3 linked regions of the Drosophila melanogaster genome follow. The protein of the gene in region 2 binds, or shares a complex with, the protein of the main gene of each other region. Each region holds a gene or a part of one and is shown on either strand. Other genes may lie near its edges.

Evidence for each region. The genes of interacting proteins can lie anywhere in the genome.
Region 1: Ada1-1 (region 2) and Saf6 share a complex: the UniProt entries of both Drosophila melanogaster proteins name them as parts of the spt-Ada-Gcn5 acetyltransferase (SAGA) complex.
Region 3: Ada1-1 (region 2) and wda share a complex: the UniProt entries of both Drosophila melanogaster proteins name them as parts of the spt-Ada-Gcn5 acetyltransferase (SAGA) complex.

What each region holds. Positions count from the first base shown.
Region 1 is NT_033779.5:812,791-817,963, forward strand, and holds Saf6 (SAGA factor-like TAF6), read right to left. Parts: upstream 3,161-5,173; 5' UTR 3,042-3,160; coding exon 2,685-3,041; intron 2,632-2,684; coding exon 2,485-2,631; intron 2,432-2,484; coding exon 1,453-2,431; intron 1,395-1,452; coding exon 1,161-1,394; intron 1,104-1,160; coding exon 667-1,103; 3' UTR 524-666; downstream 1-523. Other genes in the region: Dbp21E2 (DEAD box protein 21E2), read left to right, coding at 1-521; Pex12 (peroxin 12), read left to right, coding at 3,293-4,186; CG15880 (uncharacterized protein), read right to left, coding at 4,256-4,392, 4,454-5,108. UniProt on the Drosophila melanogaster protein: Component of the transcription regulatory complex SAGA, a multiprotein complex that activates transcription by remodeling chromatin and mediating histone acetylation and deubiquitination. The SAGA complex predominantly acetylates histone H3.
Region 2 is NT_033779.5:11,995,194-11,998,513, forward strand, and holds Ada1-1 (transcriptional adaptor 1-1), read left to right. Parts: upstream 1-1,615; 5' UTR 1,616-1,710; coding exon 1,711-2,510; intron 2,511-2,574; coding exon 2,575-2,701; 3' UTR 2,702-2,772; downstream 2,773-3,320. Other genes in the region: CG18789 (uncharacterized protein), read right to left, coding at 48-124; Qtzl (quetzalcoatl), read left to right, coding at 621-750, 809-1,050. UniProt on the Drosophila melanogaster protein: Component of the transcription regulatory complex SAGA, a multiprotein complex that activates transcription by remodeling chromatin and mediating histone acetylation and deubiquitination. The SAGA complex predominantly acetylates histone H3.
Region 3 is NT_033777.3:23,254,547-23,259,853, reverse strand, and holds wda (will decrease acetylation), read left to right. Parts: upstream 1-1,766; 5' UTR 1,767-1,854; coding exon 1,855-2,013; intron 2,014-2,073; coding exon 2,074-3,368; intron 3,369-3,445; coding exon 3,446-3,746; intron 3,747-3,806; coding exon 3,807-4,153; intron 4,154-4,230; coding exon 4,231-4,360; 3' UTR 4,361-4,784; downstream 4,785-5,307. Other genes in the region: Pex11c (peroxin 11c), read right to left, coding at 1-177, 873-944. UniProt on the Drosophila melanogaster protein: Component of the transcription regulatory complex SAGA, a multiprotein complex that activates transcription by remodeling chromatin and mediating histone acetylation and deubiquitination. The SAGA complex predominantly acetylates histone H3.

The DNA.
Region 1 (5,173 bases), about 11 Mb from region 2:
CCAAACGTCGCCCTCTTATCGTGTTCAGCAACAAGTCCACCACCAGTGACTTCGTTTCCATCTTCCTGAACAACAGCGGAGTGAACTGCTTAAATCTGAATGGGGATATGCTGATGAAGATCCGTCTTGGCCGCTTCGAGCAGTTCCAAAACGGTCACTGCGACGTCCTTTCCACCACCGATGTGGGAAGTCGTGGCCTGGATACCACACGAGCTCGACATGTGGTCAACTTTGACTTTCCGCTCCACGTCTCCGATTATATCCATCGTTGTGGCAGGATCGGTCGGGTGGGCAACATGGACAAGGCGCTAGTCACGAACCTGATATCATCGCGCCGCGAAATCGACGTCGTCCAGCGAATTGAGCACGCAGCTCGAACAGGTGGACTTCTGCCGGATGTGAATGCCAACATCCGAAACATTATCAACAAGCGGATTGTGGCGGAGATGAAAGCTGCAGGAATGCCCGTGCCCGCTTTGGGCTCACTAAATGGACATACGCCTCAGGAAGAAGCCTTTTAGTTCTGTGTTTTTATGTATTACGAGTAAAGTTGTATCACCTTTCGGAAGACCGAAGAGGAAGTCTAAAGTAAACGAAGAGTTTTATTGAGATCCCCAGGTCCTCCTGGACCTCCAGAAGGTCTTATAATACTTTCCCAAGTCCCTTTCAGATCCTTAGGTAGTGATAGCCACTGATGGGCGACCACTTTCTCACGTTGGTCAGGGGCTTAAAGAGTTTTCGTTTGGCGATCAGGATGTCGGAGCTGGCACCGCCACCCCCACCACCGTTCGCTGCCGACGAAGGCGAGTCTTCGGAGTGGGGAACAGTCGCAACCTTCGGCTTCAGCAGCACCGGGCGGCATCCTGCAAACTTAAAGCGGATGTTGCCCGCGCAGTTGAGCTGAAGATTTGGTGACTGAAGGTCGGGGAAAGCCTCGCAGAGCGTAGGCTTCGGTTTGAGTGCCTTGCTAGGATCGTCTCCGTGGCACATGGCTGCCGCAAGAGTACTCCATTCCAACCGACGCACTCCCGGCACTGATTCTATTCTGTAAGCGGGTTGTTTGGCCTTCACATACCGTCTGGTTACCATCTTTTCGTAGGCTCCTGCAATGATTTTTAGTTACTTAACCGCTTTTCATGGAACACATGGGTGTTTCTTACGCGCATAGTGGACCAAGAAGGGCTGCAGAGCAGCACCGCATCCGTACTCCAGCCATTCATACAGGTATACGTCATCATGACCGCCAAGGAAGATGGCAGCCGGAGCCAGATCCGGCCACAGGCTATCCGGGATTTCCTCGACGCGCAGTTTGTAGATGTAGGGAATAAACTCACGAAAGGCATATTCTCCCAGGGCAATGAGACCGCGCACTGCTCTACTGATATACCTAAAGTCTTAATTAAGAAATCCAAAGATAAGGATCCAGGCTAACAAATTGTAAGGATGATTTACCTCTCTCACTGCTGACGTGGCGACCTTCGAAGAATCTCGCTAGGCGTCTCTTGATCAAAAACAGGCACTCTGCATGTAGGTAACCACTTTGAGATGCCAGCTGTCCTATAGTTTCACACAGCTCGTCCACCAGGCCATTGCCGACTGGACAGGCAAAGTAGCTGGATAGGTGTTCCGCCTCCGGCTGAGGATTCAATTCCTCCTCCTCCGATTGCAGCTTGTAGATTGTGTGTTCCATGGTGCTCTCACCCGGAAACATCTGGGGTTCTTGCTCCTGTTTCTCTACTCCCATGACCTCCGGATTTTCCTGGGTTTCCGGATTATGGCACTGGTCTGGCTCAACCTTTAGTTCTTCTTCAAACTCCATTTTGATGGAGGTGGTTTGTCCCGGATCTGGGTCGACGTGTGGAGCTTTGATAGTTTCGTAAGGTGCCATTAGCTGGCTGACCAGTACCTCGGCCAGGTTGAAGTACTCCGGCCGGCAGGCATTGTGATTAGCAGTGGCGTTGTAGTTGCATGCTCGGAGCAGTCGCCAGCATCGCTGGCTCAAATGGTCCTGCTGCTTAAAGGCTAGCAACTGGACCATCTTACTCACAATCACTCGGTAGATAGATCCCATCAGGGGTGTCTGAAAAGCATGGCAGACGGCGGCCGTCTGGGATTTGCTGTCCGCAAAAAGGGCTGCCGTCACAAGACTCTGGACACACTGTCTTAGTTGGTCCATGTGCTTATCCTCCACTGGGCAGATGCTCTGAAAGTCTGCATCATCAGGTGTGCACAGATTGACTTCCTTCTGAAACTCCGCGCTCAGCTCGAAGATCTTATCCGAGTGAAAGTAAAAACTGCCGTCATAGTCGATCCGGTCCCAGTCGCTGTCCATCGCACCCAGCATAGGCGGCACATCGGCATCTTTTAGCACTTCGTTCACCAGGTCGTATGTCACCACTCCGCCCGAGTGGCGCGAGTATATTTTGACATTCTGAGAGATCAAGAGGTTAGAGGGATTAAAGAGGTGTATTACGGTCGACTTACATTGATCAGCTCCCAGACTTTGTAGGAGGCATCTTCCGCCAAACGGGCGCACACATCCTGGGAGAGTTCCACATCGGTCTGGTCGTGCTGCTCCCAAAAGATCTTGATGCTGCGCGGATCGAAACCAGCATAGCTCTTCTGATGACCCTACAGTAAAGAGAGCTTGTACCATAAGAGGGCCCTGAGATTGGCATCCTTACCATTCGACTGGAGTTGCCAGAGGCTTCTGCGCCCGCGATGCCGCCTGCAAGTCCGTGCCCACCACTTCCTGCTACCGCAAATGAGGCGTCAAACAGATTGTAGTTACCCAGACTAGATGTTGGCGTGGTGGGCGTTGTCACCATGTTTAGGTGAGTGGGCGTGGCCGGCAGGCTGCCCACTGCAACGCCCCCGCTCACTGCGGATGCGATGGAGGATGATGCGGATGCCGACAGGGAATTCTTTCCAGTCAACTCCAATTTCGCCGACTTAGATCGCGACTTAGTGGACTTTTTGCTGACTTTGCTGTGCGATGACTTGTTCAGCTCGTCAGTATTGCTGGCGCCAGAGGTTTTCATCTTCTTGGTTTTGTATAATTCATAAATGTATATATTTTCAACAGTTGGTAAATAAACAACGAAGCTGCACCACAAAATAAACAAATCTTGCCAGATTATTAACCCAACTATCGATGGTGCCAACGACTTATCGATATATTGATGAGCACTCGACTGTTTTCAAGCCAAGCCCGATAACACCAGTACTGATAAGAATAACAACATAATTGGTATTCGAATTTAATTCCATTTATTTAAATGCTATAAACACAATGGCAGAAGCGGCAAATGTGCGCCAGAACCTTCAAAATGTGCCGTCGATCTTCGAAATTTCAGCGTCAGAGACGCTGGACAACCTGATTTACCCGGCACTGAGCAAGATATTCGACTACTTTGGACTACGCCTGGACTTTAAACTATGGGGGAGTTTGAGGATTCAGGAGGAGCTGTCGCCATTGCTGACTTGGCTGCTGCAGTACCTGTATCTGCGCAAGAGGGCCTCCTCTTTCGGTGAGAGCTTTTACGGATTGCAAAGGACGGTCACAACCACTGGGGATCTGCTGAACCGCAGGCAGCAGTTCGCCTCTGCCACACTGCTAACCTTCATGCCTTACGTGGAGCGGAAGCTAAGGACCAGGATCACCAGGCACGAGGACACCAGTCCCTGGGAGCAACGCCTTCTAAGCGCATTCCATGCTTTCCATGCCGCCAAGGCGGCGCACACATTCTTTTACCTCGTAAAGTACGCCTCAAACCACTCGCCCATCTTCAGATTGTTGGGGCTGACCCTTCGCTATCCCAGCGAACCTCCCAAAGAGGATCAGTGGACCTACGTGGTCCTAAAGATGCTGGAGGTCTTGGCCTTCTTCCTGCAGTTCGTCCAGTGGTGGTACTCCAACGACCAGCGGCGGAAAGTGGGTGGAACTCTGATAAATCCCGAAGCGATGCCGAGAAAGCAGCTGCCCAAGGAAGTGCAGCAGAGCCTTCCCCAGCGGGGAGAGTGCCCAGTCTGCCTGCTGTCCATCCAGACGCCCACTGCCTGCTCCGTTTCCGGCTACGTCTTTTGCTGGAAGTGCATCGTTAGCCACATGAAGGAGCACGGCACCTGCCCGGTCACCCACTATCCCATCAGTCTGGACGACCTGGTGCGCATCTACGAGACGTAACGTTAAGCATTCCTTTTATGTTTTTTGCTTGTTTTTGTTTAATACATTTTATAAGGAATTGGGAACTGTTTACATCTCGCTGAGGAAGAAACCCAAACGTTGGTCGTAACATATGTAGACGTGGTAGAAGTCAAAGTAGACCGTGCATAGATAGATAAAGAAGCACTCACAGGAGATGAACTCGCCCATACCGAATACGGAGTAGGCTGCAGAGGATCCGGGGATTAGAATTGTAGACATCCTTCCATTCGGTTAGGTTCTACTCACCCAAGGGAAAGCAAAACTTCTGGTGTATAAAGTAAAAAATCCACATGACCACCACCCAGACGTAGTAGGTGAGCACCAGACCGCTCTTCAACCGCAAGGAGAATTCCTCATGCAGCTGCCCAATCCTATCGCTCATATAGTACTTGGCGCACACAAAGGAACCTGCCATGTAAATGGCACACGATACGAATAGCGACAAGGCGATGGTTATGTGCAGCAATGAGTCGCCATCCTCTTGGGGGAAGGTGCCCCATAGCAGTACGCTGGAACTACTGACAGCCATAATGATGGCCATCAGGCAGCCGAAACCTCGGACCGGCCTGCGCAGATTCCTCCGATAGAATCGGAACTGCAGCCATGCACTGGCAATGAGAAATGGGAACTCCAGGTAGCAAGCCAGAGCCCACACTTTGTGCTGAGACTTGGCAGCCGCCGATGTGGAGGGAAAGATGTTGAAGGCATTACAGGTGGTATACGTGGTGGACTGGAAGTCCGTGGTGATGGCCATCACCAGGTTGTACACCATGCAGACGGGCAATTGCAGAAGCCCCAGTGCGAGAATCGGACCAACTGGGATGCGGAAATGCCGCCTCGCCTGCAAATCCTTGATGGAGCTGGGCAACAGCTTGGCTTGATCCTCCACAAAGTGCAGCATTTAAGAGCAGGTTAATCCTAGGACAAGTCGGTCAGACAATCTTACACTTTCTGTTATCCCTCCAG
Region 2 (3,320 bases):
ATTAAGTTATTAGTTCATCTGCATAGTTTTAATATCAATGTACTCACTTAACATCGAAATGCTCGTTGTTGCACTTTGCGCCATAGCGGCAGGAGCCTTGTTGAAAGAACCGGCAGACAACCATATTTAAATTTGATTTTAATTTTTGCCTATTTCCTATATTTATTATTTCAAAACTGCTTCAACTTTTGTACTTTTGTTTATAATTGTCTTACTTTGCGTATTGAGTATTCTTTGAGTATTTTATGGCTCACTGAGAAAAATATACCGTGCCTATGCGCGCAATTTCGTGAATTCGTAACTTAAGTTCGCTGAATGATTAAGATAATTTTGTAAGCAAACATATTTAAGATGAAAACTGGTTTTTGAAAATATAGTTCCTTGTAAATTATACATTAAGTGCGAATATATCTGAAAAATATTGGTTTCTTGCACAGATGCTATTCATTTTTCATATGTTCAAAGAAATTCAGAAACTTGCTTCTGCATAATCGAATCAGATAATTTTAAAGTGAATTCCGGAGTCCTTTGGTATATCTCGTGCCGCCGAATACGGTCCCACTGATTGTGAAATCCGTGATAACGAATTTTAACACCAGAATTTCTAGGATTCCATCAGAATGCAAAAAGTGCTGGGACGCATCCAGGCGCAGGTCCTCCGCTCCCGGGCGACGAATGCATTAGCCAATGTGGTTAGACACGAGGCCACCTCCTCCAGGACAGCGGCTAAACCAGCCGCCACATCCAAAGGTAAGCGGATCCTCCAAGATGCACAGTTACCGCTTACCAAAATCGTATTCGTTCGTAGAATTCCGGGAGAGACAGGTGCGATTCAACATAAAGAACGAACAGACCGAGGGTAGACCACTTTACCTGGATGCCCAGGCCACCACTCCAATGGACCCACGTGTATTGGACGCTATGCTCCCCTATCTGACCAATTTCTACGGAAATCTGGTTCGTACGCTTCGCCTTCAACGCCTGGCAAAAGATTCTGGCCTTGGGCAATCAACTGGGCACAACATTTGTCTGGGAATTGGACTGCAATGATCCCAATTTAACAAAGTGTAGCCAGCTGGTTCATCCCAAAAGCAACTCCACCATCCGACAGACTTCCTTCTCCAAAGACGGTTCCATTTTAGTTTGCGTGTGCGACGACAGCACCGTGTGGCGATGGGATCGCGTCAATTAGGATGAGTGTTTCTAGGCTAAAAGAATTTTCCTTATCCTTCTAAATCCGATACCATATTTATGTAACCATAGTTATTTTCAGTGTAATGTTTACCTTCAATATTAAGTATGTTCTTATGCGTAGCATTTATATACAATACTCATTGTATTGACAATTTATGTTAAATTATGTTAAATTTTTTAACATTAACCAAGATATTTATTCTATTCTATTACTTTTTTAATGATCAAATAGCTTCGCAAATATTATCATCTTATGTTGTGTGAATGGCGTGGGCTCTATCTTTAATGTTTATATTTTAACTAACTAACTTGTACACAATAAAAACTGTGAACACTAAAGATTAAAACCAATATTTTTTTAAAGGGTTCTTCAAAAATAACGGTTTTTATCTCAAATGTATCTGGTATTTTCAGCCGTTCTTTGAACGGTCACTCGAATCAGCTGCATTCATTTGTTTATATAGCAATTCGCAAACAGTTGGATTTTCCTGTTTAGTTGTTATTCCCAATACTAAAATGCTTACCGACAGAGTTCTGGCCACCAAGGAGGCGCTAGTGGTGGCTCTGGGCGACAACTGGGAGCGTTACCGGGCCAACATGAAGAATTGGTTTCGGAGCCGTTGGACTAAGGAGGAATTCGATGCGGAGTCGCGGAAAATCCTAACACCTGACAAACTGCACCTGCACAATCAGTTCCTGCTCGCCCTGCTCAACAAGATCGACGCCTTTGCTCCCCTGGAGAATCCTCCGGCCGTCCAGACCAGCAGCAGTAGTGGCAACCGAAGCAAACGGCGCAAAAGAAGTTGCCGCACCTTCGCCGAACGCCTTAATTTTGAGCTCAGCGACGTCCTGGACTTTGTAGCCGAGGACAACATGCAAATCATTCGTCCGCCAACCACGATCGGTATTCCGTCGGACCAGCAACAGCAACAGCTTCAGTCGCAGCGGTACTGCGCGCAGGAACTTTTCCTGCCCGACGCGGGATTCATTATGGGACGATTTCTGATCGGTGCCTGGGAAATCGGACTTGTCTCCGTGGACGACAATGTCGCCGAGTACGTTGCCATGGCCGTGCAAGTTCTGCTCAAGGATCTACTATCGGCAATCATCAAGAAACGAAAGCACTACAAGACCAGCGGCGAGGGAAACTTTTACTACGATGTAGGTGCTCCGTTGCGTGATCCTTCGCTGCGCAACACCGTCACCCGGCAGAAGGTCGACGACACGCCGCTGGAACTGGACAAGGAACTGAATACGGCCAACTTTATGCGGCGACAGAACGACGATGTGACCTTCCTCTCCGCCTGCGAAGAAGTGTAAGCTCCTGAATAATAATGAGATTTTCATGTGAAACACAAACTTAGGTTTTGTTTCTTTCAGCCAACCCACCGAACGCACAGTAATCACCCTCAAGGACTGCCAACTGGCCTTACGGGATCGCAACCTGATAGGCTCGCATGCCGTCTACTCCATAAACATGGAACGACTCAATATGATGATGCATTAGCTTATAAGTTCTAATTATTTTATTATATCAGCTTCTGTAAAAATATATACATTATACGCTAGTGTACCATTAAGTGTTTGGTTCAGCAAAGATTCCGTGGAGGCGGTTTGAATGGCAAGGCACCTGGTAGAAATTGATCCGCCTTGAATGCTTCGATTTCCTGCTCGTTGAGATCCTCCATGCGACTGTAAACTGAGGACTGGATTTCGTTGGTCGGTTGAGCTTGCTGCTGCTGCTGCTGCTGCATCATTTGCTGTTGCTGTTGCATTTGAAATTGTTGTTGCTGCTGCATTTGTTGCTATTGCATCTGCTGCTGCTGATGCATTTGTTGCTGTTGCATCTGTTGCTGCTGCTGCATCTGTTGCTGCTGCTGCATCTGTTGTTGATTAGGGAATGCAGATGCTGCTGCTTGAGCAAATAATCCGGAGGCAGCTGCCTGCTGCTGCTGTTGTAGTTGCTGAGAAGCCTGAGTAAACATTCCGCCCATATTTTGGCTTGCGGCTTGGCCAAAGATTCCCGTCGACTGCGGTTGCTGCTGCTGCTGTTGGAAACCACCGAAAGGATTAGGATTCACTGGCTGAGCTTGCACCTGAACCTGCGCCTGGGCGAAAATGTTGCC
Region 3 (5,307 bases), on a different chromosome or scaffold from region 2:
GCCCAAGCCATACTCCAAAGCATATTGGATCATGGGTATGTCGTCGATGAGACGCAGTGTGGCTCTCGCACCTGAGATCCTTGAGCTGGCGGTGGCGTATCGCTTGGCTAGTTCCGGATTCCGCTTGGCATGGTAGCCAGCCACCAGTTTGGCACTGTAGCACAATGCCTTCATCACCTGAAATAGGTATTTAATTTCATATATGTAATAATTGTTCTGCGCAATTCGTTAAGCCGTGTGTTTGCTCTATCACGAGAGTTGGCATCGCTGTTTACCTTTGCCTCTACCTGACCCCAATCGCCAGTCAGCCCTGCAATTTGTGGAATTGCTTGGTTGTCACAAACAGATAAAATACTATCAGCGATAAAAAGAATACAACGAATGCCACAATCATCTCGTGTGATGGCCGCCAGTGGAGTGCTCCTGGTCGTCCGTCCTGGCCGGAATGAGTTGTGGGTGGTTTCATTGTTTACCCATTAATGGTTCAGTTTGCTTGCTTTGCCATCAATGAATTAGTTATGCAATTCGGAGGAATACTAATGTCGCTATACGACTAATTTATGTAAATATCCTATAGTATTTCCAAAGTTCGTGACCACCCCATTCGCTGTTTACAGCCACATAATATATTATATTATATTTTCAAATGGTTATCAAGTATAACAAATTATTTGTTCTAATTAATAAATCTAAAATACTTTGAACAATATTTTATCGTATTCAAGGTTCGATTTTTCTATTAAAATAGAGATACACTATACAAGATTCCCTCTTTGTCTGCACTGTATACACCCCTTGTAGGGGTATATAAACTCGCGATGGTGGAAATGTGTGGATCGCGTGTCTCCTGATGGGCGGCAGTCCAAACAAACCTTTCGTTCATAACGAATTATCCGCTTTATCTGGTAGCGGCTTAAAGGTTTGCCGGCTATAGTATTGAGCATTATCTTGACTCGATCGCCGCCGAACTGCGACTGATAAGCGAAAAGCGAAATACAAAATCCATTGCGAATCAGAAAGAAGTAAGGCAAGGTCCAAACTGCTGTGGCTTCCTTGTTCGAGACCCAAAGACCAATGCCAACATCGATGCAGCAACAACATGGAAACCTGTTGGTTCAGTTTCGATTTCAAGCGAGCCCCTCAATGGACCAGTCCAAAAAGGAAATAGAAACCAGTCAAAATGCCACGATGCATTTTTTTAAATTTGCGCATACGAATTGGGAAAAACACTCGGTTCAAACGTAAACAAACAGGTGTGTTTTCAATTAATTGGAAATTTACTCGGCTGTGCGGCTCTTCTATGTTACCTTATCTCGCCCGCCATAGGAATCGATAATATCACAGAACTCGTTCACAAACTTTGTCGTGGTGCCCATAATGGCTCGTTTTTTGAAGACCAGGTACTGTTTTATATCACGTAAAAACTCGAACTGAGATACCGCAGCGAAAATACAAGAAATTGTCAAGAGCGCTCGGGAATCCAACAACACAAACAGCTGACTTTCTTCAGTGGTGACAATAGCCAAATAAACTAGCTAAGAATAGAGAATATAATAGAGCTAAAAATAAAAAGCTAGTTAATATAAATAAAATATAATATAAATATAAGTTAAAAATGTAAAAATAAATTTAAAATTAAAATATTTCAATATCAATATTGTTATAAAAGAGAAGCCAAATAGCCATCACTGACGAAAACAATTTTGAAAGAACAGCTGTTGCAGCCGCTTAAAATCGATGAATGCACATCGATAGGACAACCCATCTCCGCTGTCAGCACTATAATCGAACGCATATCGGACGCACTGCAGGACGGGATCAGGATACGGAACAAAGCGAGGCTAACACGCAACGATGAGCCTGCCCAGCGCCAGCAACCACGCACATGCTGCATCGCCCGTCTACAGCAACAGCAATAACAACAAGTCGAGCGCGAGCAGCAAAAAGACCTCCTCCAAAAACGATTTGCTACGCTGCGCCGTGGGACTCCTGCTGAAGCAGAAAAACTACGTGGTAAGTGAATAATCTTCAAATATACAATTCCTCAGAGTGTTCAAATATTCAAACCCGTAGAGCAACGAACGATTTCGGCGGTCGGATTTTTTGCTGCTGCAAAACAAACAGCAGTTTGCTGTCAACAAAATGCTGGATACGGATTTGCACGGTGGCAATAGCTTCACCTTTTCAAATGTCCAGGTTATCACCAACAACCAGCACACTGTGGACCAGCAATTTGGTCGGTTTTCGCAGTTCGTGGAGGCCCAGGCCGAACCGCTGCGTCTGGAAATGAAGCGCTTTTATGGACCCATGCTGTGCCACTTCTATCTGGATCTGCTCAAGGCTCGCGAACCGCGTGGCGCTGTGGAGTTGTTGCGCAAATATGCTCACTTGGTGGCCCCCGTGGATATGTACGATGCACCACCACCTACCAAGATCAACGGATGCTCCACTACGGCCAATGAGTCCACTTTTAACATACGCTTCGCAAAGGAAGCCCAGGACACTGGGGACACGGAACTGGACTACTTTATGCGCCTGGTGCAAACCCTGAGTGGCTACACACGGCTGGAGGCAGCAGAGTCCGATGACACAGTGGCCCATTTTCGATCTTCGAAATACGAACTACATACTACAGCCGTAGTTGTTAATAGGATATGCGCTTATCTCCAACGACGGGGCCACGTTTTAATTATGAACCTACTCTACACCTGGTTGCATGTCCATATAGTGGAGAATGAGCAGCGCGCCTTTAGTGAGGATCACCTGCTTGGCTTGACGGATGACCTGGAAGGTGAGGATGGAGAGGACGATGTTGTTTCCAAACCAGCAGTAACCCTTAATACCCGCGGAGACATAAGACCAAGCAAATCCCTCACTGAAAAGTCGAACCGAAAACGACCCGCTGAGGAGCCAAACATTATGCTAGAAACAGACATCAAACAGGAGGTAGAAACGGATGAATCTGCAGAGCTTAGTAAATTACAACTGAATATAGACGCCTGCTTGGACACCCTTAAATCGGCCACTGAACAGATACTCAAGTCTCAGGTGGAGTTGCCGCGATTTCTCAGAATCAGTGAACGTTCTCGGGGCCTCACCTCCGCCCATCTGGATCCCAGTGAGTGCCACATGTTAGCCGGGTTCGACAATTCTGCCGTACAGCTGTGGCAGTTAAACCAGAGCTACTGCCGCGGCAAGAGCTTCTACAGACGCTATCCGCAAAAGCGGTGTCCCTGGGAGCTGAACAATTGCGCGAATCAAGAGGAGGAGACGGATGAGGACAGCAGCGATGAGGATGTCAAGTGCTCTGAGGAGGAGAGACGGGAACGCAACAGGGCGCGACATTGCAAATATGCTGATAACTCCTAGTAAGTTCATCTTCCAGGTTTAGTATTGGTTTTATTTTTCAATTTTTAATCAACTAAAGTTTTTTTTTTCTAATTAGCAACGAATACGGCGGATTTCAGCTGCGAGGTCACACAAAAGGAGTCACCGATGTGCGCTTCTCCGCCCACTACCCACTCATGTATAGTGTGTCCAAAGACGCAACCATGCGGTGCTGGCGTGCCCACAACCTGCATTGCGCCGCCATATACAGAAGTCACAACTACCCAATTTGGTGCTTGGACGAAAGTCCAGTGGGCCAATACGTGGTAACGGGTTCCAAGGATTTGAGTGCGCGCCTCTGGTCGCTAGAGAAGGAACATGCGCTCATAATTTATGCCGGGCATACACAGGATGTTGAGGTTGGTTTAACCAAAAATGTCTTTGAACTTTTAGTTATATATATTTTTTTTTTCTGACAGTGCGTTGCGTTCCATCCGAATGGCAACTACATAGCCACAGGATCGGCAGATCACTCCGTTCGCCTGTGGTGTGCAACCAGCGGAAAATTGATGCGTGTCTTTGCCGACTGCCGTCAGGCGGTGACCCAGCTGGCGTTTAGCCCAGATGGAAAGATGTTGGCTGCCGCCGGAGAGGAAACGAAGGTGCGTATATTCGACTTGGCCGCCGGAGCACAGCTGGCTGAGCTCAAGGATCACTCGGCGAGCATTAGTTCTCTTTCCTGGAGCACGCACAATAGGCACCTGGCCACAGCGTGCAGCGATGGTACCTTGCGATTGTGGGACATCAAGAAACTATCGCCCATGAGGTTAGTTATATTTGTGGAATGGAAACGGAGCAATTTGTTAATATTGGTAATGATGATTTATTTTGGTTGCTCCACAGTGACAACAGTAGTGCTGGAAGCTCATCATCAGCTACAACGAATCGTGTGCTTACTGTCAATAGTTCCTGCCAGCGCTTGGTCGATGTTTTTTACGGGACCAGCAAGACGCTCTACTGCATCGGCACTTAAAGAAGACGGTTGAAAGTTCAGCCCGAATTTAGACTTTCTAGTGACGACTTATGTTTGAAAATAATTTATTTTGTAATAAGTTGTATATTATTGTTACTATCGTGTGAAACAATTCTTTATATAAATAATTCTTTTGATTTAACAATCCTGGTAGCTTTCTTGTGGAATAAAACGAGTTGGTTACAGTGTAATGCCTTTACCTGCATCGTCTACTGGTCACAGCTAAAGAATGTCTTTCAAAACGAAGTCATGGCATAAGTAATGAGTGGCCAATTTCCACAAAAGTTGAAAAATGTGTAACTATTAAAAATAAGACGAGCATTCGAATCGAATTTCAATTGTTGAAGTGATTTTTTTTAATATATTAACATTTTACCCAATACCTAAAAATGTGCAAAACTAAATAAATCTAAAGGTAATATAGAATTTTTTGGTTGAATTTAATTAGCGATGCATTAAGAGACATTTTACTGTTCTTCAATAATTTAGGTAGTTTCATATAGGTTTAGGATTGTGTAAATACATTTATATACAGCTTGGAACCTCTATGATTTTGGACATACGCACAGCCCTTTTGAACAAAGAACATTGAACTTAATTTTTAAATAATGTTGGAGTGATCAGCCTTCTGATCGTAAGTTACATGCAATCAATGAATTGAACAACTATAATCAAATATCATAACTTATGTAAATGAGCTTGTCTACGACCCAGCGGGATGCAACAAAAGCTTTATCTTTATCCGGTTGGCTTAAATATAGTGACTTATACAGCGTAATAAAAGAGGGCAGAACATGAATAAATAATAAATAGCATGCATATGCTACGCATGCCGACAGCAGCAGTCTGATTCCACAGCGCACTGGGAAGTAGAAGGTCTAGTATCACAATGTCACTTTATTCAGACCTGAAAGTCTTTGCCAATAAAGTTGGAAGGTAATCCCACC